Astyanax mexicanus: one gene and its partners. The protein of the gene in region 1 interacts with the protein of each later gene in a pairwise test. Links are inferred from orthologs where the notes say so. Each region holds a gene or a part of one and is shown on either strand. Other genes may lie near its edges. The genes, in order: nab2, transcription elongation factor A N-terminal and central domain-containing protein, zmynd19 and rfc5.

What was found.
Region 2: the proteins of nab2 (region 1) and transcription elongation factor A N-terminal and central domain-containing protein interact in binary tests that used the Homo sapiens proteins (3 or more experiments, as listed by UniProt). The two-hybrid records come from large-scale screens. The link is inferred for Astyanax mexicanus from reciprocal best matches to the Homo sapiens genes NAB2 and TCEANC.
Region 3: the proteins of nab2 (region 1) and zmynd19 interact in binary tests that used the Homo sapiens proteins (3 or more experiments, as listed by UniProt). The two-hybrid records come from large-scale screens. The link is inferred for Astyanax mexicanus from reciprocal best matches to the Homo sapiens genes NAB2 and ZMYND19.
Region 4: the proteins of nab2 (region 1) and rfc5 interact in binary tests that used the Homo sapiens proteins (3 or more experiments, as listed by UniProt). The link is inferred for Astyanax mexicanus from reciprocal best matches to the Homo sapiens genes NAB2 and RFC5.

The regions. Positions count from the first base shown.
Region 1 is NC_064431.1:14,540,918-14,548,594, forward strand, and holds the start of nab2 (NGFI-A-binding protein 2), read left to right. Parts: upstream 1-4,669; 5' UTR 4,670-4,719; coding exon 4,720-5,637; intron 5,638-7,677. UniProt on the Homo sapiens protein: Acts as a transcriptional repressor for zinc finger transcription factors EGR1 and EGR2. Isoform 2 lacks repression ability.
Region 2 is NC_064428.1:21,510,311-21,516,669, forward strand, and holds transcription elongation factor A N-terminal and central domain-containing protein, read left to right. Parts: upstream 1-4,321; 5' UTR 4,322-4,368; coding exon of another isoform or gene 4,369-4,393; 5' UTR 4,394-4,635; coding exon 4,636-5,709; 3' UTR 5,710-5,851; downstream 5,852-6,359.
Region 3 is NC_064408.1:19,972,255-19,980,049, forward strand, and holds the start of zmynd19 (zinc finger MYND domain-containing protein 19), read left to right. Parts: upstream 1-4,773; 5' UTR 4,774-4,957; coding exon 4,958-5,008; intron 5,009-7,795. Other genes in the region: bspry (B box and SPRY domain-containing protein), read right to left, coding at 501-899. UniProt on the Homo sapiens protein: May be involved as a regulatory molecule in GPR24/MCH-R1 signaling.
Region 4 is NC_064429.1:31,486,039-31,493,148, reverse strand, and holds the start of rfc5 (replication factor C subunit 5), read left to right. Parts: upstream 1-4,097; 5' UTR 4,098-4,195; coding exon 4,196-4,242; intron 4,243-4,926; coding exon 4,927-4,991; intron 4,992-7,004; coding exon 7,005-7,110. UniProt on the Homo sapiens protein: Subunit of the replication factor C (RFC) complex which acts during elongation of primed DNA templates by DNA polymerases delta and epsilon, and is necessary for ATP-dependent loading of proliferating cell nuclear antigen (PCNA) onto primed DNA.

The DNA of each region.
Region 1 (7,677 bases):
TTGACTCCTTTTTCCCAGCTTGTGTTTCGACTTATCCAGTCCACCTTAAATACCTAAATATTACGGTAATTCCACGCTGGCATTTGTGGCGCCCGTAAGTTATTACTCTATCACTTAAGGTGGAACACAGAATTACGAAATAAGCTGGATAAACAAGTCAAATGTTTTAGCTTAAAAAAAAACATAATTTATTTTGAAAGAGAGATATTGTTTATAAATCATTAGGTTTATATAACATCTCATAACTATTATATTTTAGTAATTATTCTAGAAATGGTACAGAACTGATTCTATGCAATATATGTCTTTTTAAAGATGTTATAAGAGACCTTCAGATGCAAAAAATACACTTTTAAAGTACGTCTACATTTTGAAAACAAAAAATGCACATGAACACACATTTATTCATTGATTCATCGTTTTAATGTTAAATTGTGAATTTAGTTTTAGATTAAAATAGATGTCTTTAGCATGTATTTTTATATTAAGTGTTTTAAAAAAAAGTAAAACATATTTTAAAATATACCTTTTCATATATACTTTAAATCTACGTTTAGCAGTGTTTTAGTAGAATAATTAAACAAATCAAAATAATTTTCTAATGTAAAAAGCAGATACTAGATGTTAGTTTCCAGAAAACATTTACATGCTGAAGCAATGTGAACAGATTTGGCTCTACACCCCCTCTACCCAGCACACACTTCCGTAGTTGTGTAAGGGCGAGTGGCTCAATACCCCCATAGTTGGCTTCTATGATAATGTCCATCAGTGTGGGTGTACACTTGAAGGCGAATTCTACGTTGGTTATTCAACATTTCTGCATTATTTAGCTGGCTGAGATCAACAAAGTGGGACAATCAGTGCCTTTATGACAATGCAAATATACACATTTTATTAGTTTTAATTGATTTGATTTAGATTCCAGACCCAGCAGTAAACAAACACAGTGACCCTTGTAAGTAATGTTAATTATAATATACATATGGTTAAATTTTCAGTAACCCTTGTAAGTAATGTTAATTATAATATACAAATGGTAAAATTTTATTTTATTAAAATATATATATTTTTAGTTTTTTATTCAGTTAAATAAACAATGGACAATAAGTGTTTGATTACCGATTTAATTAATAAATGTCAACTGTCAACATCTCAGTAATTGTTATCTATTTGAGTTGGAACAGAGAATAAATTGGTTTTAGTTAAATAGTTAAATATTTTGAAAATTATTTTAGTATTGGTGTGAAATACTTACGTTTTTCCTAAAATGGAGCGTTTCACACCAAACATTTTTGCTCACTCATCTTATGTGTTAATAAAACTTTTTTTTTTTTTTAAAGATTTATTTTTTTGATCGCTGGAATTCCACTTTTTATCACATTATCAACAGATCAATTGCATTAGCCAGCATTAGCCTAGCAATAGTTACGTTTTTATGCTTATTTTGCTGACCAATCCCAAACAGCACAGTCAGAAATGCTGGGGTTTGCGTGATGCAGAACCGCAGCCCGCTTTATTATATTCAGAGCGGACTGACATCACGGGGGAATCCCGCCGTCCGACCTGCGTCACGCGCGGAATCTTATCGCAGTCGGAAAGAACTCGAGCGCCCACCCACGGGGGCGTTTCCTCGGGCGTTCTTCTGTTTTCCACCTGTATTCAGACAAGACCCGCCCACTACTTGCCTTTACGCGCTGGGATTGGCTGGAATTCCCTTACTACGTTGAACTGCTTGAAGTGGTAGCTAATCCCAGCGCACTATGGGATTGGAGGGGCGGGGAATGTTTGAAAGCGGGTGGGAAGCGTTCATCAGGGATAGCAACAGCATTGACAGCATCCCTTATTGACTACTGATTAATTTGTTTGAGATAGAAATTAATATGATTGATAAACATTCAGAAAATATTTATATGAATGAGGAAAATAAATCAAAATAATAATAATAATGTTTTCTCTTAGGATCAAACTGTATAATCCATACAATATTATTACAATCATAATCTTGTGGGTAATATGTGTATATTGTTTTTCACAATATACACATATTAGTTTTTTGTGTTTGATCTATCAGTCATCCTTCCATATATCCGTCCATCTATCAGTATACGTTACTTATTTAGACATTGTACAGTTTTATTTTTGTTTTTGCTTTTGTGTTTGATATATCATTCATCCATCCATTCATTTATCCATCCATATATCTTTCAATCTATCAGTATATGTAACATAAACAGCTAAAATAAGCATTTGTTGATTCCAGTCCAGTAAACAGAAATGATATTAGTGTACACAGTGGGCTTGTTAGGTTAGCTATATTTACGTGAGAACCCATCCGGAAACGGGTGGAAATTTAACCAAAAACGACGCCGTGAAACCCCATCCGCACTCCCACCCCCACCCCCCGGTTGAGAGGCGCCTGTAGCCGGGAGAGGAAAGCTCTTTTTCGGTCAGATGGCGTGCCGCAGTCCGCCCACAGATTTCTCGCGCCCACACCGCCAGCGAAAAGACTGTCATTAACAATACAGCAGCAGTGGGACCGCGCGGCGGAGCGGAGCGCACTGTTCCCCTTCAGCGGACTTCTGGAAACATGTTAAACCTTTAACTTAACATTTAGCGGACGTTTCTCGGTCTACAGAACCCGCAGATAGAGAATAAGCCGCTTATTTCGGTAAGAAGACGCGGGAATGAGATGTGAAGGCTTTATGTAAACAGCGCCAGCAGCCTCACAGCGGACACCCTGCTAACTGCTGCTGCTGAAAGTGGGCGAAAATCCGTACAAGCGAACGAAACGCGGAGCGCAGAAATTAACGCAGGTAGACAGAAGGTGCTGGAATCGCCTCGAAATTCACCTTTTGAACCCTAGGGTAAGTAAAAACACGCCTGCTGTTCAGACTTAAACTTGAATCTAGTACAGGGCTGTTTCCATTGTTTCTCGTTTGAATGCTCCAGCATAGATAGGGGTGTTTAATGTAGCTATCCTTGTATGTATTGCAGTGTGCGCATGCGTAGAAGTCATATTGAGGGACGAGCATTGTCTTGTGCAATGTCAAAAAAATATTTTTAAAAACTTTTGCCTCAATGACAGGGCAATATAATTTATTTACTCCTTTATTGGGTAGACACTAGGGGTGGGCGATAAAGCCCTAAAATAATATCACAATGTTGTATGGTATTTTCGATAATGATATTCTTGACAAAATGACAAGACACTGAATTCAAACGCTTATTTCAAGAATACACTACTGCAACAAAATTAAAATTAAATTTTATTATGTTATATGATATGATATGGCACACCCCTAACTGAGATATTAAAAAATACAATAATTTTATCAGATTTGTAACAGAAATCAATAATCCAGAATGTCATGTTGCTAATAATGCACTTTATATATCTCCATATATCCAGGATTAAAGTAAAATGAAAAATACTGGACAGATATAATCTGTCTCTAGTAGATATATAATGGAAAATGAGAATAGTGTGATTTTTTTTCTTTTGCTGACAACAGCAAAACAAGTATGTGATAATTAGGGGTGGGTGATATGGCACAATATTTTTATTGTATAATATTGTTCAAGAAATTCCAAAATGTTGGCGATATTATTGCGAATGATACTATATGGCACACCCCTAGTACTCACAGTACGTTATTAGCTAATATAATGTCAAACATTTTTTTTATATTGCAGTATGTTTCATAAAACACATTTAAGTAAAGCAGTGTCAGATATTTTACAGTATTGTGCAGCCCTATCTCGGCCAGTGTAGTATATTATATACTGTTTAGCTAATTAAACTCGCTCATGTAACTTACTCCAAACCTTACATCCTCATTTTAACCAGCGGCAACTAGTGTTTGTGTATTATTTCACACATTTATGGAAACATAATAACAAGGAGAATTTAATAAATGAAGATGATAATAAAAAAAGAAGTAATCTTGGTTTATATTTTACAGTAACATGTGTGGATTTTTCCTTTACAATAAAACTAAACAACAGTGGCAATTGTCAAAAATACAGCTAGATCTCATCACCCCTCGCTAGTTGAAAGGTTAATTTGACTGCTTTAACCTTAATATAGTGGTTTATTTATTTGACTGGCATTGTTGTTAATTTTGTTTTAGATATAATCTTTATGGTTTTGTAATAATACAAATATTTGTATAGGTTTAGCAGTTTTTTTTTACCTAAAAGGGAACATGTATATTCCTCATAAATGTTTAACCCACATGCGCCCACACTGTTATTACAATACTGTCAAGGTCTCATGATTGCCAGTTCCAAGGAATTTACCTCCTGAGCCCACACACACAAACACACACACACACACACACACACACACACGTAGAGTTGTGGGCAGTTCAATATAAATGTCACCAGCTGAATCTTGGGTCATTAAGCTTCACCATCAGCAGCAAGAGTTCAAAAGAGCACAGTTGGTCATGCTTTTTCTCTCTGGTTGGGTACATCAGGTGGTGCTCTCTCACATTGCTCTCATCACTCCCATTGTGATTCTGGTCAGCACCGGTATCTGTTGGCTGGTGTATTAGAGCTTGGGATCCAGTGAGGTTTTGCTGCTATTTTACAATCAGTAACATTCCATATAAAAGTCAGAAGACACATGTAGTTTCATTGGTGGGTTTAAACAGAACATTTGTTCATTATAATGTTATTCTTATGGTCACTTCTCATCCAGCCATATAGCCACCCAGGATGTCGCTGCCGAGGACACTAGGCGAGCTGCAGCTGTACCGGGTCTTGCAGCGGGCCAACCTGCTGATGTACTATGACACCTTCATCCAGCAGGGTGGTGACGACGTGCAGCAGCTCTGTGAGGCAGGTGAAGAGGAGTTCCTGGAGATCATGGCCCTGGTAGGCATGGCCACCAAGCCCCTGCATGTTCGTCGCCTCCAAAAGGCCCTGCGTGACTGGGCGGCCAACCCTACGATCTTTAACCAGCCCTTGGCCACAAACGTCGCTGCTGGAGGAATCCCACTCTTTAAGATAGACAGCAGCAGCGCTGGAGGAACTGCTGTCGTTGGGTCAAGAAAGTTGAGCAATGGTCAACCAGGGTCGCCTTGTGATAGAGAAGATCAAGGGTCCTGCCTTACGCCATTACGAGACAATGGAAGCCCTAGAAGCCCCTGCTCTCAGGCATCACCTTTACCACCCGATCATCTATATAGGGACAAGTTGAGCCCGATGGAGCCGCACTGGCTCAGCCCAGACCCAGATGGAAGCGTGGGAGCCGATGAGGAGCAGCCCAGTCCTCCATTGCCTCTTACGGTTCACAACAGGCCCATCGGCCTCTCGACACCACCCACTTCGTCCTCATCCTCCTCCTCGTCCACTGCAGCAGCCTCCCCATGGCCTGGCGGTCAGCTGGACCCAGAGACGGCACGGGCCGTGGGTGAGAGCGTGGATCGCCTGCTCAGGACCATGCCCCAGGCTGACCCGGGTGAGGTAAAGACTTTACTGAGGCTCAACAAGAAGATGGCCAAGACAGTGGGACACATCTTCAACTTGGAGCCTCAAGACAAGAGCAAAGAGGAGGAGATCCGCAAGTACAGCCTCATCTACGGACGCTTCGACTCCAAGAGACGAGAGGGCAAGCAGCTGACTCATCACGAGGTACGTACACCTGGGGAGATTGGGGAACTGTGATTAAGTTACTGTAAGCTTCCTGGCTGCTGCGCTTTAGCTCCAACGCCAACCTGCCATATGCTCCACCAGTCTCAGAGGAGCTGTCACAGTGCTGCTGCCAGAGAGATTAGGCTGGTGATGTGGCAGCGGAAAGGTATAAAGCAGGGGTGTCAAACTCATTTTGGCCGAGGGCCACATTGGCATATTGGCTGTCCTCCGAGGGCCAGATGTAACTTATAAATATAAGAAAATGTAACCAAATGTAATATATGTAAATGAATGTAATTACTCCTTAATGTTAAATAACTCTCAATATATTATTTATTCAATCAAATATTACAGTTGCATGGAAAAAATGTTTGCTTGTTGCTCTATTAACATAAATCCTGTTATGAAATCCAAAAACTCCATCAATCAAGAACCAAACTATACAAGTGAATAGAAATGACATAAAATACAAGTTATATTAACTTTGATCAAAACGTTTGATACTGAAAAGAGGCTTAATAAATATAAAATCAAAAATTGTGAGCTGTGACAGATTTAGCATTTCCTCATCCAACCACTAGTGGGAGCTGCAGCAGCACAAGCCCACAGTCTTTACTGAGTCAGAGCTACAGCCCAGCCACGGGCTACAGGACTCAGTCTGGAGCGTTTTTAAAATTTTAAGTTCTTCTGTGTATGAAATAAAATAACCCCACTAACCGGATAATACAGCTCTCTACAGTTCATCTTTCAGCCCAAGCAGCTAACAGCAGCAGTTTAGAGCAGCCATCCCGGAGTCACTGCTCGGATTACATTATAAACAGGTCAGTTAGCGCGCTGCTAACCTCAGGATGTTTATAACTACGGAGTTTAGAACACACCACGGCTGCAAGGTTAGACTGTTGAAGGCTACTGGAGACTATTAAAGGCTATTGGAGGTTATTGAAAGGGTTATTGGGGGCAGAAATCAGTAAAGGCTGGTTAGATAAGTGATTCACCTCCTCGTCCTTTGCTGAGGTGAAACTGCGACTAGCGATGTCACAGTGAAGTTTATTAACCTCATTAAAACAGATTTTATCAGCTATTGTCTTATAAATATTTACACATAATTTATATCTCTTCTAAAAAGCGTTTATTTTGGTCAGTAACACAAAATGCATACCGGTCTTTCGCCTTGAAGCACAGCCGTCCGTCTGCATCAACTTTTCTTTTTCTGGATATTATGGGATAAACATGTCTCAATTCCACCCGCGAAGTTACACCTTCCCTCCGGCAGGGTTTCCACATCAATGACTACACTGCCGTGTAGTGGCAGTAAGCCGTAACTTTGCGGGTAATACAATCGACAAGCATTGTGGGAAATGTATTTTTTGGTCAAAGAACGCTTCTGACCTATTTATTATAGACACTAAGATTTTACAAGCTCTCGCGGGCCACATAAAAAGACGTGGCGGGCCACATTTGGCCCGCGGGCCTTGTGTTTGACACATGTGGTATAAAGGGTAGAACTTTTTTTTTGCATTTGGAACCCAGGAGAAATAGATATTAAAGTATATTTTTTGTAAATTACTAATTTTTGTTGTTTTGTTGTTGTAATTATTAAAATCAGAATATTGATTCCATAGTCTGCAAAGGCTGGTGTGTCAAAAGTGCATCATTATATCTGTAGGGGTTTTATATCTAAGTAAAAGTTTGTAGTTTATTTTGAAGACCACATGGTGATATGGTGGTCCAAGATAATATATTGAGGCCAGAAGACAGTGTTAAAGATAGTTAATTATATATTAAGGCCATATGATAATATACATAGAGGACATGACATACCGGTAATTTATTAAGACAATGAGATAAGGCCACATGATACAATATTTAGGCCATAAGATAATATGTTAAATCCAAAAAATAATACACTGATTATAATCTATGAAGACCATGAGAACATTAAGTTTCATGCGCCCACAAAATAATAATTAATGCCATGAACTTATACATTATGGCCACAACATAAAATAAAGTATTAAAAACAACCACCACATCACTGTA
Region 2 (6,359 bases), on another chromosome or scaffold:
CACAGCACCAGCCAAAACCTCAGCCTTACTGACAGCTATTTGTCAAACTAATGCAAATTCCAAGATGACTGGCTCAGATGTATGCAAGTCATACACTCTTTTCTTTACCAGTTATTCTAGATGTTTGCAGGATGTTTGTCTCTTCTGTTTTAGTGGATAAACACTAAAAGTAACTTGATACACCAACAAAACAATGCAAGATGCCACAGCACCCGTCAAGCAATGGAGTGTGGGGGTTGAGGAGTGAAGAAGGTCATGTGATGTCATTCAGGAAGACACAATTGGCAGATTCAAACAGCATTGAGGACTTGTGGGAGTGTTGAGAGAAATCAGCCACTTTAGGATGTGTGTGGACAGCAGAGAAGAATATGTGGGAAACAGGTCATTTATAGAGTACTGCAAGAAAGCATTAGGAATAAATTACAAAGCAGTCATTTGATGGTCATCAAGACCAGTTTTTGTCTGTCTCATTTACACAGCCCCCGGCCCTTCTTCACACAAGCAAAGTCCATAGTGAGTAGATGCTGAACATCTTAAGTTTGCTTCTAAAGATTCTGTCGACCTAAAAGAATCAAACGACCGCACAGTCGTGCCAGACTGTCATGCCGTGACTCAGAATGGCAGTTTGTTGTCACACATCACCAACCAGGAGGCCTGGTGTCATGATGTGGGGTACAATTTTGCATGATGACAGATCATCTTTGGTCTTCATTACAGACATTTTGACAGCTCAAAGTTACATAAATGAGGTCCAGCAACCAAAAGGCCAACCTTTTTCAGAAAGCACATTCAGGTACACTATTACAACAGGACAATGCTTGTCCATATATTGTTGAAATTTCAGGAGTTTACCATGACGACACTACTGAGGATACTATGCCATTGCCAGCCACATCACCAGACCTCTCCCTGACTGAAAATGTGTAGGATGCTACTAGACATGCAATCAATACACCACTCCTGAGTCCTGCCACAAAATCTGCAGGAACTGTGTGAAAATATTCAAGCTGCATGGGATGCATAATCACAGGACATTATTAGGAACCTCTACATGCACAGGCGTTAAACATACACTACACATTACGTATGTAGATGTAGCTTAAAAAATACAAACAAAGAGTTGTCCATGTCTGTCTTCAAACCAACACTTCCTTCTGGGTGTAACTATTTTTGTAACTATATCTTTGAGAATTGTCTAAACATCTACTCCTTTTAATGGACCGGGCCTTTAATAGACCGGGCCTATCTAATAATACGCTGACATTTCAGTGTCATACTTCACCAAATTAAAGTGAAGCGAATAGAGGAAATAAACAAGGGTACTAAATAAAATCACACACTCAGAGAAGAACAAACTGGTTCTTTGTCATCTGGCACTGAAACAGTGTCAATTAGCTTAGCTTGTGATGAGGGAAGTAGTGTGAAGGAAGCACCAGGGAATCAGTCAGAACAATTGATACCCTTCAGACCGTAGCTCCCACTCTGCAAAACGGTATTTAGCAGAAGTTGCCTTGTTTTCCTGATCAGAGACCAGTTCCTCAAGTTAGTTTACAATAGCCTTGTTACAGATTTAGACAGTGGAAGTTGGTCACAGATCAGTTTTTAACAACATAGCTATGAACCCTAAGTACTGAGCACAGCAGGAAATGCTTCTTGCTCATTTAAGCATGGAGTCTTTAAACTGTGCGCTTCTACTGCACTCTAGCTGCAGACAGAGGAAACTGTGGACTCAGTAAAATTCCACTCGCATAAAAGTGATGGGACATCCGATTCATATCAATGAACCAAATGTCCAATTCATTGACTCTCAAAGTCAAGACAAGTCAGCTTTTTATATCCTGTCCCTACATACTTTTAGAAACAGAAAAAGGAGGCCATCTACAATCTACAGAAAGAGAAATTGGAAAAAATAAAATGTTTGAGTTTGATTTACCCAACAGCTGCTCAATATGGAGTTACAATGTAGAGGTGGACCAATTCACATTAAAGCTAAATACATATATTTAACTATTCAAAACACACAAAAACTTGCACAACTAAACATAAAGCCTAAACACTACACCCATGATCTACAATCCCTCAGTCCCTTGGGCACTGCATCAAGAACTGTCATTGAACAATAGTGGATAGAACCACATGAGCAAAGGATTAATTTTCAAAGCTTTTGTCAAGCACAGCAATACTAAAGTACATTCACAAATAACACCTAAGACTTTACTGTGCAAAACAAAAGCGTGATGTTATCCATGTCCAGAAGTGATGTCAACTTCTCTGGGCTCATAGGCATCTGGGATGGACCGTCCATGTGCATGTGCTCTGGGCAAAAGACAAAAATGACCATCCAGACTGTTATCAGCAACAAGTCATGCATGGGGTTGTTTCAGCACAAATTTGTGATGGTAGCATTAATTAAAAGTACATAGAGATTTAAGAGAGTAACAGATGCAGCCTATATGACAATTTTTTTTCCAGGGACATCCATGCATTTTCAACAGTTCCATACGCTGCACACAATGCAAAGGCTGCACATGTCTTTAAGGTGTTGAGTAAAGATATGAGAGTATTACAAAGTAGTAAAAGTTTTATCTTTGCAGGCCTGAAATGCAAGAATAGGGCCCTTTCAACGGATCAATTCATTCATTTTTGGACATCGCAGCTGCCCACCCAAGTAAGTACAGACTGGACGGCAGAGGTGCAGACATGTTAGTCATCTCACGCCTGCAGGCCCCATGCTTTTAAAAGCAATTGTGCCTAATGGCTTCTAGTTGAAGGACTCCAGGCCTGATAAGAAACCAGACGTTCCACTCAGTTCTCAAGGCCTGTGGTTTTCGCAGCCACACCCGAACGTACTTAATGGATTACAACAGTAGGGGGTGGGAGCCGAGAGGTAAACCAGTTGCAGAGTTTTTCTCAGTGTTTTTGTATGTGTTTGAACCTCTCAGGTTACTACAATTGTGGAGAAAATTAGAGAAGAATGTCCTTTATACTGTTTGTATGTAAAGTTTTGAGCCTTTCTTCTTTAGTCATATATGAACTACAGGATATTAACAACCCCCCTGTGGGAGTTCACTCTCTTTAAAGTGGCAGGAAATCACACCAGACCAACACGACGTGTCCCTTGGGTCAGGCTGGTCATGAGCGCTCAGTTCATTCATTCTTCAGGGAGGAGAATGGACATAGTGTTATGGCATTTGAACTAAGGGATATCACAAGACAAACACATAGGCTAAGCCAGTACAATGGAGCAGATAGTGTGTGGGTCAGAATGAGGGCATTGTTGAGCCCAATAAACACATACCTCTGTATTATAAATCCCCAGTGGTATTATAAAGCAAACTATTACAATAAAAACCAACTTGAATACACATAGTTGAGTATAAGTCAGCTTATCTGAATAAAAATGGTCAATTTTACACAATAAATGACAAATGTTTTAAGACCAGTTTGTTGGTATGTTAAATACTCTCTCTATCTTTGCACTCTGAGATATACTACGATGTAGGTATTTTTAACTGGTCTTAGTTTTAGATTTACTAGTAGACTACACATATTAAAATAAACAAGAAATACTTGGGATATATATGTGGTAATGAATTATAATATGAATGAAGAAGTATACTAATAGTACACTTAAATAAACCGATTTATATTTTTTTGTAAGGGTTGAGCTTTACAATTCCCAAGAGAATACTGAGTGTTGTGTTTTGTGTAGGACTGATTCCCAGTGACACACTGTCCTAAACAAACTAATACTAATACTTTAATAATAAATATAACCTTTAAATGTTTTTAACACATCGTTTTTGTAGTAGGTTGCTGAAAATAAAGGACCACTTAAAATTTGGAATATTATCAAGAAGAAGATGGATGATCACAAGCCATCAAACCAAGCTGAACTGCTTGAAATTTCTACCAGGAGTGGTATAAAGTTATCCAAAAGTAGGCTGCAATGAATGCATGAAAACTGTGATTGAAAACCAGGGTTATTCCACCAAATATTGATTTTTGAACTCTTAAAACTTTATGAATATAAACTTGTTTTCTTTGCATGATTTGAGGTCTGAAAGCTCTGTATCTTTTTTGTTATTTTAGTCATTTCTGATTTTCTGCAAATACATGCTCTAAATGACAATATTTTACTTGGAATTAGGAAGAAATGTTGTCCGTAGAATAAAACAACAATGTTAATTTTAGTCAAACATATACCTATAAATAGCAAAATCAGAGAAACTGATTCAGAAACTAAAGTGTTTTTTACGGAGCTGTATATTTTTTGACCAACTGCGCCATCCAGCGCCTGAGTGAAACACTGTCTCTGAGAAATCACAACAAACATGGCGGCTCGGAGCTACAGAAATACGAACTGAAATGAAGAGGCTGAATAAAGAATACGGTATTGATTACAGATATTGAATCAGACATATAATTTTTACTGCTGTAATGATTGTATGGGAACAGACAGTCCGCTTTTTTAACGTACCTCAGCCTCTTCTGTTCAGAATAATAACAAAACATTATCTCCTCAGGCTGAGAGCTTTAGTTAGCAAGCTCATCTAACTGGCTAACTAAGTATAAACTGAATGAAATGGGTAACTAGCTCAACTACAATGCCAGTTTTGAGTCCTAGCAGTAGCTATGGACACCAAAGAGCTCATATTCTACGCTATTCAAATAGAAAAACTACAAAAAGGTTGCAATTATGAAGAAGTTTCATCTCTGCTTGCAGACTTGAGCAACAGTCCTGTAACATTAGAGCAGCTGCAGACCACTGACATCGCCAAGACCGTTTATCAGCTATTAAAATCATGTCCAGTGCAAACTAGTGTTCGCAAAACAGCAAAGGAACTGCTCTCAAAATGGAAAGGGATGTACAACTCATCCCAAGGACACAGCAGTACCAAAGACACAAGTCAAATAAAAGAACATGGACCACCTGAAATGGCTCAATCTGTTCCAAGTGCTGAGACTGAAACAGTTTTGGGCCCAAAAGTTCAGCACAGTGATGTCCAACAGATGTCAAGTTCTGATTCAGATCTACCATCTTCTAAAATCACTGCACTTTTACTGAAGGCAGATGATAGCAAGTCCACAGCTTCAGTTCCAGAGAACCACAACGGAGAAGATTCTAGGGTTCAGTCTACCAGTTCCACAGACTCCAAACCTGTGAGAACCAAGTGTGTGGAGCTTCTTATCCAAGCCTTGATCCCAGACCAGAAACCCACAAACCCAGAAGACACAAGACAGATTTCCACCCTAGCTCAAGCCATTGAACAGCACATTCATGCTCTCCACAGGCAAAACCAGGCAAAGTACAAGTCCTGTGTAAGAAGCAGGGTGGCCAACCTGAAGAATCCAAAGAACCCTCATCTTCGCCAGGGTCTTCTGACAGGAACCCTAACCCCAGAGGTTTTTGCCCGCATGTCTGTGGAGGAGATGGCAAGCGAGGAGCTCAGGAGCCTGAGGGAAGGATACACTGCAGCAGCTATTAGTGAACACCAGCTACCTCAGCAGCCTGAGGGGACGACCACCACGAAAGTGCGCTGCCGCCGCTGCCAGAGCATGAACTGCAGGGTGACCCAGGTCTCCCGCGGGACCCTCTTTCTGCCCTCCTGGGTGAGGAGTGGAAATAACGACGAGGACGCCATGACCTTCATGACCTGTGCTGAGTGCGGGGAGCAGTGGTACCATAGTCGCTGGGTATGCCTCTAATAAATAAGCCTAGCATTGACTGTGGGCAGGTTGCATGACTGCTACAGTGGCCCAGAGAGTCTGTACATCCTAAACAGCTATGTTTACATTCAAAATATTTTATATGTATAAAAATATTGAATAAAATATTTACATAACAAAACATTGGTATATCTTATTTGGTGGCATGTATTGAGTGTTACAACAAAATTGTTCAATATTTAAAACCAATAGACTTGTGCATATATACCTTGCTTGGGAATAAACTATAGGGAAATTGCATTGCGTGCTTTTAAACTTTTATATAGTATATGGTGTGCCAAAGAACCTATAATGTGCACCATGTGTATATATAATGATTTTAGAGTCATATAACTAATGAACTATATTCATTAAGAAATGGGAAAGAAAATCTGTTTTTATTTTTATTTTTTTAGAATATTAAGAGCATTGTACACAAACCATTCTAAACAATTATCTGAATGACTGAAAAAAATACACACACACACACATATATATATATACAGGATTTGTTTTTTAAATTGGGTATTTTGTCAATTATTATTACATTTGTTGGGAATTTTTTTTTTTTAATTTTCAGTTATCACAATAAAACTACATAAAATTTTGATAGCGTTAACAGTGACAATAATGATTATGTAACAATGAAT
Region 3 (7,795 bases), on another chromosome or scaffold:
CTGTGTATCGTGATATAATTTTTATCACAGGATATCATCTTTAAATCTTTATTGTGACATAATATGATAAATATGTGAAACTGTGATAAAAAAAAACAGGCTTATTTCACCAAATATTGGTTTCTGAACTCTTAAATGATTTGTGAATATTAATAATTTCTTTTTATTTTATTTTGCATTATTTGAGGTCTGAAAGCCCTCCCTTTTTGTTTTTTAGCCATTTCTCATTTTCTGCAGTTTTCTGAATGACAATATTTTTATTTGGAATTTGGAATAAATGTTGTCTGTAGTTTATAGAAGAAAACAACAATTTTAATTTGGCTTATAACATATAATTATAAATAGCAAAATCAGAGAAACTGATTCAGAAATTAAAGTGATCTCTTAACCACAGTGTTGGGTATGTTATGTCCTATGTGAAGCACACAGACAGTAAACAACAACACAAGTTGAGTTACATTCTTCTGTCACAACGTTACCTTAATGTTTCAGTAACTCACCCTGACGGTCGTAGCTCGTTCGGTCAGCTGTGTGACTGTGTGACCCTGGCAGGAGCCCAGAGTTTCACACAGCGAGCAGACCGGCCTCTGCTCGGTGTTACAGTACCGGTCCAGCTCCGACTGGTGTGCGGGGCAGAGCTTCACTTCAGCCGGGGAGCCGGAGTCCGCCGCGGGGCTCGCCCCCGCCACCGAGCCGTTTGAGTAAAGGGACGGAATTACGTTTATCCAGGGGTCTTCAGACAGAGTGTCAGAGAGAGGAGACCCCTCCACCGAGCTCCTGCTCCTGCTGTTGTTATTGTGCTCCTTCTGAGACCCCCGGAGTCCGGGGTCCTCCTCCTCCTGCTCGGTGTCCCGCAGCGACACCACGGCCAAGTCACAAAGTCCGTAATCAGCACTCATGACTGCTGGAGAGAGGTGGGAGTCTTCAGCTGTGTTAAAAACAGCAGCTACAGCGTTAAACTCTACTTTACAAAGCTTAGATAGTTATAGCTATTACCCTTTCTCAGCTGTTCTTTTAGCTGCGCAGCAGGTGCATCCAGTTCTGCCACCCAGGCCTACCTGGCCTACCTGTCACAGGTGTACAACACGGAAGTTCCAGCTCCAGGTGGAGGATCCAGTTTTTCCAAGAGAGAGAGAGAGAGAGAGAGAGAGAGAGAGAGAGAGAGAGAGAGAGAGAGAGAGAGAGAACGAATGAGCGAGAGAGAGAGAGAACTTACGAGCGAGAGAAAGAGAGAGAGAGAGTGTGAGAGAGCGAGAAAGAAAGAGAGATAGGGAGAGGGAGAGAGGGAGAGAGAGCAAGAGACAGTGAAAGTAAGAAAGATATATTGAGACTAAGGGAGGGGAAAAAGTAAGATATAGAGAGAGAGTAAGTGAGAGAAAAAGAGCGATAAGGATAGAGAGAAAAAACGAGTAAGAGGGATGCAGAGAAAGAAAAAAGAGAGAAAGAGTAAGAGAGAGAGATAGAGAGAGAGAGAGAGAGAGGAAGTGCTCTCTAGTTTCACAGGACAGCCAACTAAACTGGATAGTTGACTTTAACTGAGTTGAGTCCCTCAGCAGCTTTCAGAGTTGAGATCCAAGTTAATCATCCCATTTGTAAAGAGCCAGAGTGGGCGGAATGGGAAAACAATGGCAGGTTGATGTTAATGGTCAACCCAGTGGCTCATGCTCTCACAGACCTACTGCACAATAATGACACTCACATACTCTCTCTCTCGCTCTCTTTCTCAGGTGTGCCCTTGGGACTGGATGCAGTCAAATCACAGCAATGTTTATTCCAAAGTGTGTTGAAGCCAACCAGGGTATACTGAAGCAGGATACATTCTAGTGTTTTTTGTATTTGCTTCACATTTTAAATCTTTATGCACACAAAACTTTATGCCAAAAAAAAACAAAAAGACTTTGCATAATACATTTAAATAACATGCTATTTGACTTACAGTAGAAAGTCACCTAAAATTGAAATACGTCTGGTATGGTGATGCACTGTTGGTCTGTTCATTGACACCTGCACAAATATATAGGAAGAAATTATTTCTGTCCTCATAACAAAAATAAAGTGAATGGTAAAGGAAAACTACTTCTTATCTTTCAATGGAAGCCAATTAAAGAAAGTTTATTTCAAGTACTATTTGACATTTTTTTGGTCCTAGAGTTGCCACCAATGTTTAACAAAAACCTGGACACTGTTATACTAATATATACTGATAGACTTTTTCTCACCAACATACATGTCCTTAAGGTGAACATAACAGAGAAGATCAGAGAAGGCTTGGTGAAGTATGGTTTTACACAGCACTGACTATATTAACAATGGTTGTATTGTTTTTAAATAATGCTACAGCAGAGCCACAGTTACCAATTCACTGCCTGTCCAACTCTACCTGTAGGAGCCACCAGGGCTGATGGGGTAGTCAAGTCTAATGATTCTGCAGTATCAATGAAAAACAGTCATGCAAGTGCACCCAGAGTCTAATCAGTCAATTTAACAGACACAGTAAGACAATGAACTTACGAAACTGGGACATTTAGAGATAATCATTACCCTGGATGGGTAGCAATACACTTATCATGAAATTTTGACATGTTAGATACATATTATGTCAAAAAATAAATAAAAAATTGCGTGACACTGACTATGCTATTTTTAAGAATGTGCTTTTTGTCTTGCATTTAATATTTCAGTCCTAATGCAATTCAAACTAACAACCATCTAATGTGTATAATATGATGTGTAAAATGTGTATAAATTATCTAAAGTGTATAAAGTTGGGGTATTAACTTTACTCAAGTAAAAGTGTAAAAGTACTGGTTTAAAAAGTACTTAAATTATAAAAATAAAAGTAATTTTAAGGGTGGGGATGATAAAAAATGTTTTTAAGAGATTTATCTGGATAGTTTTTTTAAAGATCATGGATCCGGAATGAAAACAAGCTGAAATTAAATAGTAAAAGTAACAAGGCTATTTGTAATGTAATATATGGAGTAGAAAGTTAAGATAATTGTGTAAAAAAGTCAGGAAGAGAGGCAAAAAGTCGTCTTTACTCCAGTTAAAAGTATAGATAACCAAAATTTCTTCTTAAGCAAGGTAACAAAGTATATGTACTTCATAACTTGACACCTCTGTTTATAACACTAAAACTTTGTTGCATACTAGTTGAGTATATAGCAGTTAGCACTGCTCTAGGTTATCTGTTCACGCTCTGACTCGGAATTTCGCGCTAAAACGGCGCCACGTTCCCGCGCTCAGAGAAGCGCCAGCCAATGACGCGGCGGAAGCGGGCGGGTAGGAGGAGCTTGCAGTGAGATTCCCTTCCTTGATTGGCTGCTGGGATCAAACCCCAGTACGCAGCCAGGCACACGTCAGACACAGTCAAATACGCGGCGTTTTAACTGGCTGAGGCGCTCGGGGTTCTTCAGGGGTTGGTGTGTGCTGAAGCAGGGCTCTGTCCCGCCCCCTGTGAACGCTGGCAGCAGAGTTGCCAGATTCGAGATTCTCCCGCCAATTTGAGCATGTTTGAAAATCAAGTGTGCTGCCTTGAATGTTACATGAACACGGTGGGCAAACGTGTACAATAAGAACCAGGAGAACATAACGACATAAGGGAGATAAAGAGAGAGAGAGAGATTAAATGTTCTTGACTTGGATATGAAACTGTTATAAAATAATTGATGAAACACAAATTTTACAATATTATTAATGACTTTATGATAAATAGCAATACTGATAATGAATCCCTTATAAACAAAATAATAAGTCGTACACTCATCTTTGTTTTGACATTTGCTTTAAACGTGTGACAGACATACAGCTCTGAAAAAAAGTAAGAGGCCACTATACTTTCTGAATCAGTTTTTCTGGTAAATATTTGAGTAAAATTAACATTGTAGTTTTATTCAATAAACTAGGGACAACATTTCGCCCAAATACCAAATAAAAATATGGTCATGTAGACCAGAAAATGAGAAATAACTAAAAAAAGATGCAGAGCTTTGAGACCTCAAATAATGCAAAGAAAACAAGTTTATATTCATAAAGTTTTAAGGATTCAAGGAGATTTTATTGTCATTCGCATCACATGTGGTACATGAGGTGGAATGAAATTGTGGTCTCACGATCCAGTTTACACCCAGGAGCAATTGTTAAAATAGATACATATAGACAAAATAAAATAAAATAAAAACAAGAATACAATAAAATAGAATAGAACAAAATAGACATCAAGATAAACACACAAAAAATAGGGAGAGTAAGCAGGTGGCAGCAGCATGAAGTCCAGAGTGCAAGTTAGCTATAGCAGCATAATAGTGTGAATTAAGAGCATAAGTGTCTCAGTTAAGTTTATAATGACAGTGTTTGTAAACAGTAATTGTCTTTGTAAAGTGACAGTGCAGTGTTCAGAGTTCAGAAATCAATATTTGGTGAAATAATCCTGGTTTTAATCACAGTTTTCATGCATCTTGGCATTTTCTCCTCCACCAGTCTTACACACTGCTTTTGAATAACGTTATGCCACTCCTGGTGCGAAAATTCAAGCAGTTCAGCTTGGTCTGATGGATTGTGATCATTTATCTTCCTCTTGACAATATTCCAGAGGTTTTCAATTAGGTAAAAACAAAGAAACTCATCGTTTTAAGTGGACTCTTATTTCTTTTTTTCCAGAGCTGTATATTTTTTGGGCTTTAAGCTTCTGAAGGGCGGGTTTGACACTGACTTTGGGCTGGATATTTTTGTTGGACCTGGCAACCCTCTCTGGCAGGTTTTCCAACGCCACTCAGCGGCGGCGCATCGCGGTGGTTTGGTAGCGGGTGGGGAAGAGTCGGGCAGCGGCTGACCCTCGCAGACAACAGAACTTGTAGGGAACTCGGGGTGAGGGGTTGCCCGGACTGCCTTCAGACCCGAGAACCGCCAGACCTGCGCTTAAAACCTTCCGCTCATCACCTGCGAGACCGTCCGTCTAATGTCGGATTTCAAGCTCGGGATTGTTCGACTTGGCCGTGTGGCCGGGAAGGTGAGACCGATCCCGGGGACTGCCATGTGCGAAGGGGAGGGGATCACAGAGCTGGCGAGGAGGCTTTTATTAGCAATATTTAGAGATTAACGCATAAATCAGCGGCTAACTTACAGTACAGCACGATGGTCGTTAAAACACACACCCCCTGAACGTGTCTGTTGGTCGAATAAGCGATTTTACCGGTGTTCCGTCGAGTTGTGCTACGTTGTCAAACCGTGCTTCCCTAGTGTAGCTGTATTTAACCCTTTCAGACCTGAATTATGTGTTATATATATTCTAATATAAAATCTATACGAACATTAAATCAAATTAAATAAATTTAGTAACTGTCTTATGTCTATTGCATTGGAGGCCAGTGCTTAACATTTTTTGATTTTAGATTTGATCTTGTCCTTTTTGTTCACAAGCCATCCCTAAACACTAAAATAAACATGGTAAAAAGTGTTCTAAATCACACACAATTAGTACAAAAAATAGCTTTTTTAATTTGCCTATGTGACTCTAGTGCTAGGATTTTTGCAGTGGGCAGGGCTAAGCTATTGTTTCATAAGATCGTTTTTAGTCTATTCTGATTAACAAATGGTCTCAATTAACGTTAGTGTTCTGCGCAACAAAACATTTAGGAAAAAAAGAAAACGCATGTCTGTTGTTGTGGCAAGTGGCCTGAAATGGTTAAGGCAAAATATATAAGGCGGCAAAAATACAAATGAAGCACCATATTAGAGCATGATCCCTGTATGTTTATATATATATTGGATAGTATAAATCACTGTATTAGGGTGAAGTTAGCTAAGGTAATGGGAGGTAATTAGAAACTGCTTTTTGTATTTTTTATTTTTCTATTTATTTATTATTAATTGTCATTTTTTTCTTTTGTGCAATGACTGTGAGTCCAGGTTGTTTAATGCTCAAAAAACCATAAAAGATAATAAACACACTTATCATATTAAAAAAACGGAGAAATAATTAAAAAGTGTAGGTGAGCGCATGCGCAGTGCCTTTAGAAAGCGCGTATCGACGGATAGCATAACTCGGCAGAACACCGGAATAGCTTCCAAGCTAACGAAGCTAACGCAGCTAACCTGCTAGCAAAATAAACGGCAGGGTTTATGAAGGCTGGTGAGCGCGTGTGTGTGTGGATAGTGGCCCTAAACAGCATGTCTCTTTTTATAATTTAAGATACTCATTTAACGAAACGTGGGGTTTAAAATACTACACGATGTTTCTTAAGCAGCCGGCTTAAATGAACTTAGCACTCGGTTAGCTAGCCGGACATTTAATCAGGAGACGAGTCGGCAAATCTCTGAACCAGGAACCGCTGCAACGTGACTCAAACCGGCGGCATGTCTGCTGAGTGGAGGAGTTTCAACAGCGGGCTACGTACAACAGCTAGCCCGATTAACTAAAGACTACGCATCTATAGCGTATTAAACTACATAACATAGAGAGATCACAAGCTAGCTATTATTTATCTAGATAACCCAGTAACAGTTAACCTAGTTCGCTACAGTGGGAGCTAACATTAGGTTACACGGTGTAACTATAGGTCTATAGCTTGCTAGCTTAGCAAGTTAGCCCCTAGCTTTGCTGCTATTGTTGTGTTAGTCAAGCCTTTTCAGCCTAAAATCACACCAACAATGGCTATTATCTCCCAGTTAGAGTTCTGTGTAAAGCAATTTTCGTAGTAAAGACTTTTACTTCAGGTGTCATCTAACGTTTAGCTAGACGTACTATATTTTAATATCAGATCTGTGCTAAAAACAGAGCCATCCTTACCATTTTCACCTGCCCTTAATGTTATTACTAGCCACATCACCATCACAATTCTCACCAGTCTTAAATGTTCTTTTTACTTGCCACATCTTCAACATAAACATCTGTCCTAATGTTATTTTTGTACCACTTTACTTGGATGGTCCATTTGATGGCCCCATTGTCTAACATTTACCTAACATTCAAATTCACGTCTATTAAATGCAAATTAACCCTATGTGGAATGTAAATGATTGAAAATAGAACTGAACTAACTATTATTTAACCCTAAAATCTAACCATAACCTCAATCATTAATCAACCCTAAAATCTAACCGTACACCTAACCCTAATCTTATCCTTAACTATAACATTTCTAACCCTTAACCCAATCTCTAAATGTTAAGATTAAAGTTTGGGTTAGAGTTGGGTGTGGGGTTACACTGAATAGATAATTAAATCATTTATTTTTAGGGTTAAAAAAATGGTTACGGTAAGGGTTAGGCGTAGGGTTCGGTTCTATTTTGTGTTATTTACATTCCACATAGCATTGATTTGCATTTAATAGACATGCAGTTGAATGTCAGTTGAGCATCAATGATGCCATACATTGACCATCTAAGTAAAGTGTTCCTGTTATTTTTACTAGTCACAACCCCATCACCAATACCTGTTTGTAATGTTATTTTGGGATTTTACTCACAGTAACACTTTACAATAACAGTACATTATTTAATTAACAGTACTTACAACAGATTATGTTGTTAGTTAAGCCTTTATTAATAATGACGTTTTATTATGTTTACAGTGTTTAATAGCGTTATAATTGTTATTCCAGACATTGCTTAACCAGTTAGTATCGTTTATGACTGTTAATTGATATGCTTATTGTAAAATGCTCCCTCACTCTCTTATGAATAGTGACATTTTTGATTGTAAAAACAATCAAACTAACTACAATTACATATAATTGCTTTCTTACTAGTGAAAATAAATTGTAATTCTTATTGCTATAACTTTAATTTGATGTAT
Region 4 (7,110 bases), on another chromosome or scaffold:
GTTCTGTCATATTCCTCTGCCTAACGTTCTGCCAAAACATTAAAACCGCTCTGAGTTCCTCCAAAACAACACTAAGAATGTGTGCCCTGGTAGTCCAGTAAGTTATGCCATAACATTAAAACCACCCACCTAGAAGATGGTACTGTAAGTAGTGTTATAATCATTAAAACTGACCCATTGAAGGTGTCATGTTGTACCAAAACATTAAAATAATTTTGCTAAACTGTTTTTGTAAAAAGGAGATGAGCAGACAAAACATGAACTTTGAACTACCTTTATACTGTCTGCAATGAAATGAGAGTAAAGGTAAATATAACGAACACTGCATTTTCCTTTTATTGTATTTTACTTTTTCTGATTTATGGTTTCCGCAAATATTTCCACTCACACTTTTATATTTATAGGCCTTGACTGAAGATTGCTGTGGAAAATGCTGTGTGCTATTGTTGCGTGGACGATTACATCAGAGCGTTTTCAGTAAGAACAGTAATGCTTTATTATGGTCTGTCTGTCTCTTTAATACACAATGGATTGGAAAAACTACAACTTAGAGCTCAGAAAAACACATCTTATGTAACTCTATCTTCCAGACACACACACACATACACACACACACAATAGATTGAGATGTAATAGTTGCTGGTTCGAAGTGTTTAAATTGCTGTTTTGAGTGTGTTGTAATCCTCACATTGTGCTTATGATAATGGTGGAAAAAACAGGGTCAAATACAAAACAACAACTATCCTTCCATGTCTAACTCTCACTGATGTTTAAAGTTGTGGTCCTTCCCTAAAAAGTCCCTAAAATTTCACTTACTGACAAAAAAAGAAGCTGCAGTCATGGCACACCCTGTACATTAGTTAGTTACTGTATGTGAGCTTCAACCAACCTCACTACCACAGTGTTAGTATCGTCGTTAGCATGGTGACTACAACATTATAATATTAGTGTGGTATTGGCTCTGTTCCCATGCTATTAGCATCACCACCATGCCAATAGTATCACCACTGTGCCATTAGCATTGCTAACTCACCAACTTCCACATCAGGGCTGGTTCCCAAATTTTGTTTTTGCAACAACTATTTTTTGAAGTATCTCTGAAAAAATCACAAATACCCATTTTGCTGTACAACGTGAAGATATCTCCTTGCTTATTTCTAATTGAGTCTTTGAATCATATAAGAGCAGCAGACAGTTCTGGCTTAGTACGACAGGTCCTGTCAGTGTGAACATGATATATATGCAGAGGTGGAAAAAGTACTGAAAAATTGTAATTAAGTAAAAGTACCTTTACTTTGCTAAAATTTTACTCAAGTAAAAGTAAAAGTACCCCTCTAAAAATCTACTTGAGTAAAAGTAAAAAAGTACTCAATTTAAAATGTACTTTGAGTAAAAGTTACTTGGTTACCTTTAATTATTTGACGTAAAAAAGTAAAAACAAATCATAAATTAAATTGTTTTTAATAAAATATTATTCCACATAATATTTAAAACCTTTCAGGCAGTATTTGTTCAGATCAGCCCATAAAACATTTTTAGTGGCATAGGTTTCTATGATCCATTTTTTGTCTTTACTGTTAAAAAGTTATGGTCATATAGGTGACTATAAACTGTATTTTTATCATTTTACAGTTCATTATTATATTTTAACTTGCCATTGCTTTGCTTTAACTGCTATTTACATGTTTTTTTTTAAACATTTAAGCAGATTGTTTAAAGATAAAAATACTTACAACACATGCTTTCTCAGGTTTGATGTGGAAGTTTTGAAAGCAGACAGCTCTGTCCGGCAGGGCATGGCACATTTTGCATTGCATAAGGTTGTTATTGCCTCGTTATTCTACGCACGAGCACGTTTGTTTTTTTTTTTTTAATTCAGACAATTGTTTTTTTCCCAGCATTTTATTTTTTTCCTCAGTAATTGGGAAATTTCCAATGTAGCAAAGTAAATTACTTGTGTCAAAATGTACTTGTGTAAAAATAAAATTACCTATTTTAAAAATGACCTAAAAAATGACCTAACTTTAAAAATGAAAAGTTACTCATAAAATGTACTCAATTACAGTAACTTGAGTAAATGTAATTAATTACTTTCCATCTCTGTATATATGGAATATATATGGATGAATTAAACACAATTAAACTGACTTCCACAAGGTAACGTTTGCTAAACTGTGGTGAATTGTTGCTTAGTGTTTCTGGCTTGTAATCCTTTTGTTTATTTAATTTGTAGCATTAACAGCTAGCTGTTAAGCAAGCTACTAACTTGGTTAGTAGCAGCTAATCTCTCTTAACGCAGACTTAACCTGATACCCCTCTGCATGTATTTTGTGTTTCATTTAATAATTTAATAAATAATACACTGTAGGAAATAGTATAATGCATAATTTTCTCTTGAAGACACATGCAACATTTTTATTTCTTTACTTCATACATCAATTTTAGCCAGTGTTATTAGCTCTGGCTTTAAATATATGTCTATCAACATGTCTACCCATTATATTACATTATATTAGAAAAGCTGTGTAGAACCGGGGCTGCACCACATGATCACATGATATGGTACATGAAATATAATAGTTTATTAACATATAATAATGAGTACTCCTACTTTTGAAATGCCACTGAGAAGTTTTTGCAGCCAACAGAAGCCCAGCAAAGCTAAGCTTTATTTTCTTATTTATTTTATTTATTTTTACACATTCAATGTGGAGGTTCATGGTGGTCCACAAGCTGGGACAGTGCTAGTGCTTGTTTTTTTTTTTGAGTATAGGTCAAAATACGACCCCTCTGCAGGTTCTGTTGGCATAAAAACTTGCTAGTTCAGCACTACTAAGAGCTTCTAGAAACCAGGCTCAGTGAACACACCTAAAGAACACACCTGGCACGGCTCTACCTGCCCTGCAGGAGATACGGCTGAGAGCCATGAACACATGCAGCTCCAGCAGGGCCTGAATGTCCTCCCTGGTTCAGATGAAGAAGTTAAGTTGCTTTCCATCTCCAGTGTCCCAACAATCCCAGCAGTAAGTTTTCACTATGCTAATATTACCACACATTTTTATCTTCCCCAGAAATAATTGTATTAAACCTTAAATGTGCTATATCATAAAAAGGCTGGCTGAAAGTTTTGGAACAGCCTTGATATATTATAATATAATAATATATGTCCTTTAGGTTTCAGTATGTTTTCATTCTTTTTATTATTATTTTAGTTTGTAAGTTTTAGTATGTTTAATACTAATATGTTTAATTGATATTCTATGTGTATTGTAACGTTTAGCATTTTAGTGTTTAATATTGTTTAATTTAGCTTGTGTTATATTTTATTTTATTTTATATTTATTTTTATTTTATTTCCAGTGCTTATGTTTATATCATGTTTATATGACATATTTATTACATATTATTTTTAGTATGTATGTGATAGTGTGTAAGTATGTTATTTATTTTTTTGTATATATTTTTGTGTATATATATGAATGTTTTAATGTTTATAAAGTTTTGTATTAATGTTATCATTCTTATTTTTGAATTGTTTAGCATTTAAGTATTTAAGTGTTGTTTTATGTTTTATTTATATATTTTTATTTCCAATGTTTTGGTTATTATATATCATGCTTACATATTATTTTGTATTTTTTCATGTTTTATTTTTTCTTTTTATACAAAATGTATATTTCTTTTTTTGTAATTTTGTCATTATGTATTTTTCAGTATATTTTTACTAGGTTCTAAAAACGGGTCTCATTCAAAAAGGGGCGGGGTTAGTATTCCCCGCCCTCAAATTGTATTAAGTTTGTGATTGGTTGGATCTGTAAAGCAGGCCTGTGTCGTCAGAAACGCTACTGACAGCAGTGAGAATGGATTCAGTTGATCTGAATCTGAACTGATTCTTTCAATCTGTCCGCTTTTTACTGAATCAAACTTCAGATTCATAAACAGAACAAAAAATCTGGTTTATTATGCGAAGGAAACAGATATTACGAATATTAAATAAATATTTATTGCGTTTAAAGTGCAAATCAGCTGGCAGAACTTAAGGAAATCGCATATATTGTGCAGAGACCACTTGTGAACTTGTGAATCGGTTCGCTGGTTTTCTGTTAAAAGATCCGGTTCAAAAGAGCCGACTGGTTTGCGAGTCGGGCAGCAAAAGCGCGCCAAGAGAGAAGTGGGATAGAACAGACAGCAAAACATGGCATCTACCAGCAAAACAGCGGTTCCAGCGAGGAATTTACCATGGTAAGACAGGAGTAGGATAGTTAGAGAGTCGTTTCAGGCTGTTGTGTGGTTTATTTAGTGGATTTAAGGGTTTAATAAAGAGAGTTTTTTTGAGAACTGCTGTAGCTATAGGTTCATATAGTGGGGCTAACGCATTAGCTAGCCTAGTTAGCTTGCAAGCTCTATGTCAGCTAACCTAGGTTAACGTTACTTACTAGCCTAACTTACTTGTCGTTTTCTGGGCCTTTTAGTGGCTATAAAACATCTAATACACGTTTTAAGTGTGGTATTATGGTGCTGAGACGGTATTTAGACGTAGAAAACGAGACTTAATAAATGTTTTTCTAACTTTGATTTTGATAAATTTGATATTTATCGTTAACTAACTAGTGAACAAGCTATAAGTCCAAATGTTTGTGAACAGCCCTTCAAATTAACTAATGCATTTAGCTAGCTAGATAACTAGTTAGTTAACTAACATAACTTAGCTGCTTGTATTGCCAATAGAATAGGACCCCCTGGAGCAGGTAAGGTAAACATGAACCTACTAGCACCTTGACTAATGCCAGACGTAGGGGGTATAAAGCCCCCCAGCATTTGGTCCATGTCATAGAGATGTAAAACTGCTAATACTGAGGTGCTTTTAAAGTAAAACACACATTTGATTTTGTATTTTATTCTTTTTTTTATTTTTTTGATTTGCAGGGTTGAAAAATACAGACCACAAACACTAGATGACTTGATTTCTCACCAGGACATTCTGAGCACAAGTAAGTAGTTAACACAGAATACACTAGTCATAACACAGAAGGATAAACTGATAAACTGCGATAACCCTTTCATGCATAGTAACATTAGTCACTACAATGGACATTTATTCAAGTGATTACTTTCTACATAAATCAGTTTTACTATTATTAATGCATGAAGAAAGGTCAAAAATCTGTCAGCTTCTGGGATTTTTATAGAACGCACCTCTGAGGGTAATATTTGTTCTGCACCATTAAAGTTTCCATTTAACTTAATTTATTTATATATTTTTTATTCAGTCAAGTGAATAATTGAATTTAAAATACAAAATAACTATACATTTTGTCAGCATAAAGGAAGAATAACTGTTTGGAGAAAACCCTGATTCATGTTGTCATAATTCATGCATAAGGGGGTTAAGTTGTGTTATCTAGTATTCCTCCTATGTAGTGCTGATGCATAACCATGCAGATTACCTTAGGACCAATGGGTTTTACAGTAGAACAAAATACTGTTAGGTAGAGCAGGGCCATTTTATTGTTCATATATACAATAAAATAGGTAATCGTTGGTGCTTAAACAACAGTCCAGCTGTTTGTTTACTGATGAAGTATAAATAGTCCACTTTAATATGATGAATTGCAGCATTGTTTTAAATGAGTGTTCTAAAAGTTGTTTCTGTGTATCTGTGACTACTGATTAATTTTGACTGTGATCACATGTGTTGCAGTAAATATTATAAATTATAAATATTCTTACCATATTGCCTGGTCCTGTACAGTAGTACAAAAACAATAGACAAACCACAGAGACATGCTGCATAGACAGCAAATATGAATATGCATGTAGGGTAAGGGTGGGCGATATGGCCCTAAAATAATATAACAATATTTCATTGTATTTTTGCGATAACAATACTCTTAGCAATATGACATATAACACTGAATTAAAAAATATTTCAAGAATACACTACTGCAACAAAATAAATTAGATTTTATTATTGCATACGATGATCTGATATGATATGGCACACCACTAACTGAGATATAAAAAAAAATACAAGAATTTTATCCGATTTGTAACACAAGTCAATGATCCAGAATGTCATGATACTAATAATGCACTCCAAATATCTCCATATATCCAGGATTAAAGTAAAATAAATGATACTGGACAGACATAATCTGTCTCTGGTATATATATATATAATGGGAAATGAGAACAGTGTGAGTTTTTCTTTGCTAAAAACAGCAAAAAAAATTATATACACAATATTTCAAAGTATAATATCGTTCACGATATTCAGAAATGTTGGCAATATTATTGCATACGATACGGTACAGTAACTGTTAGTCAGAAGCAGTGGTGGAATATTACAAATACTAGGAAACTTTACTATTTTATATAGTATCTGAGGGGTTTATAGATTTAGGGTGTTTTGAGTCATTTTCACACCTGTAGATGGTTTCCATTAGACTGAACTTGCTGCAATTCCTTTTGTTTTTGTTGGTTTTTAGAAATTATTACAGTATTGTTGTGTGTGTGTTATGGCACAACCCTGAGTTAAGATACAATATAGTATGGTAAACCTGACCAGGTGTTTAAATTATATTATTTTAAGTGATTTATTTAGAAAACCTACCAGTATAAGTCTAATTAATTGTAGACCATCACCAATAGTGTATTATTTTGTCTTAATTCAGTTTTAATAATGAACGTAAATTTACTCTATTTACATTATTGCTTGTACCTGCATAGACCTAATCTCCCTTTAATCCAATGTCGGCGTTCCTCAACCTAAGCCCCTTCCTGATGGTTGTTCAGATGTAGTTTTCTGGACTGTTTGAATGTGTTTTGTATGTGAAGCCCAACAGTGTTGGCTGGATCTGGACTGAAAACCAAATGGACTGCTGGTTATACAATAGCTAAATTCTGCTCAGTACCAGCAGCAGCAGCAGCAGCCGTAGATCCAGTCTTACGAAGTGTGCTTCAGACAGAGTTTCTCACAAGCTTCTCTGAATCCTCCTCCTCAGTTCAGAAGTTCATCAGCGAAGACAGACTGCCTCATCTACTTTTCTACGGGCCTCCAGGAACAGGAAAGACCTCCACCATCTTAGCCTGTGCTAAGCAGCTCTACAA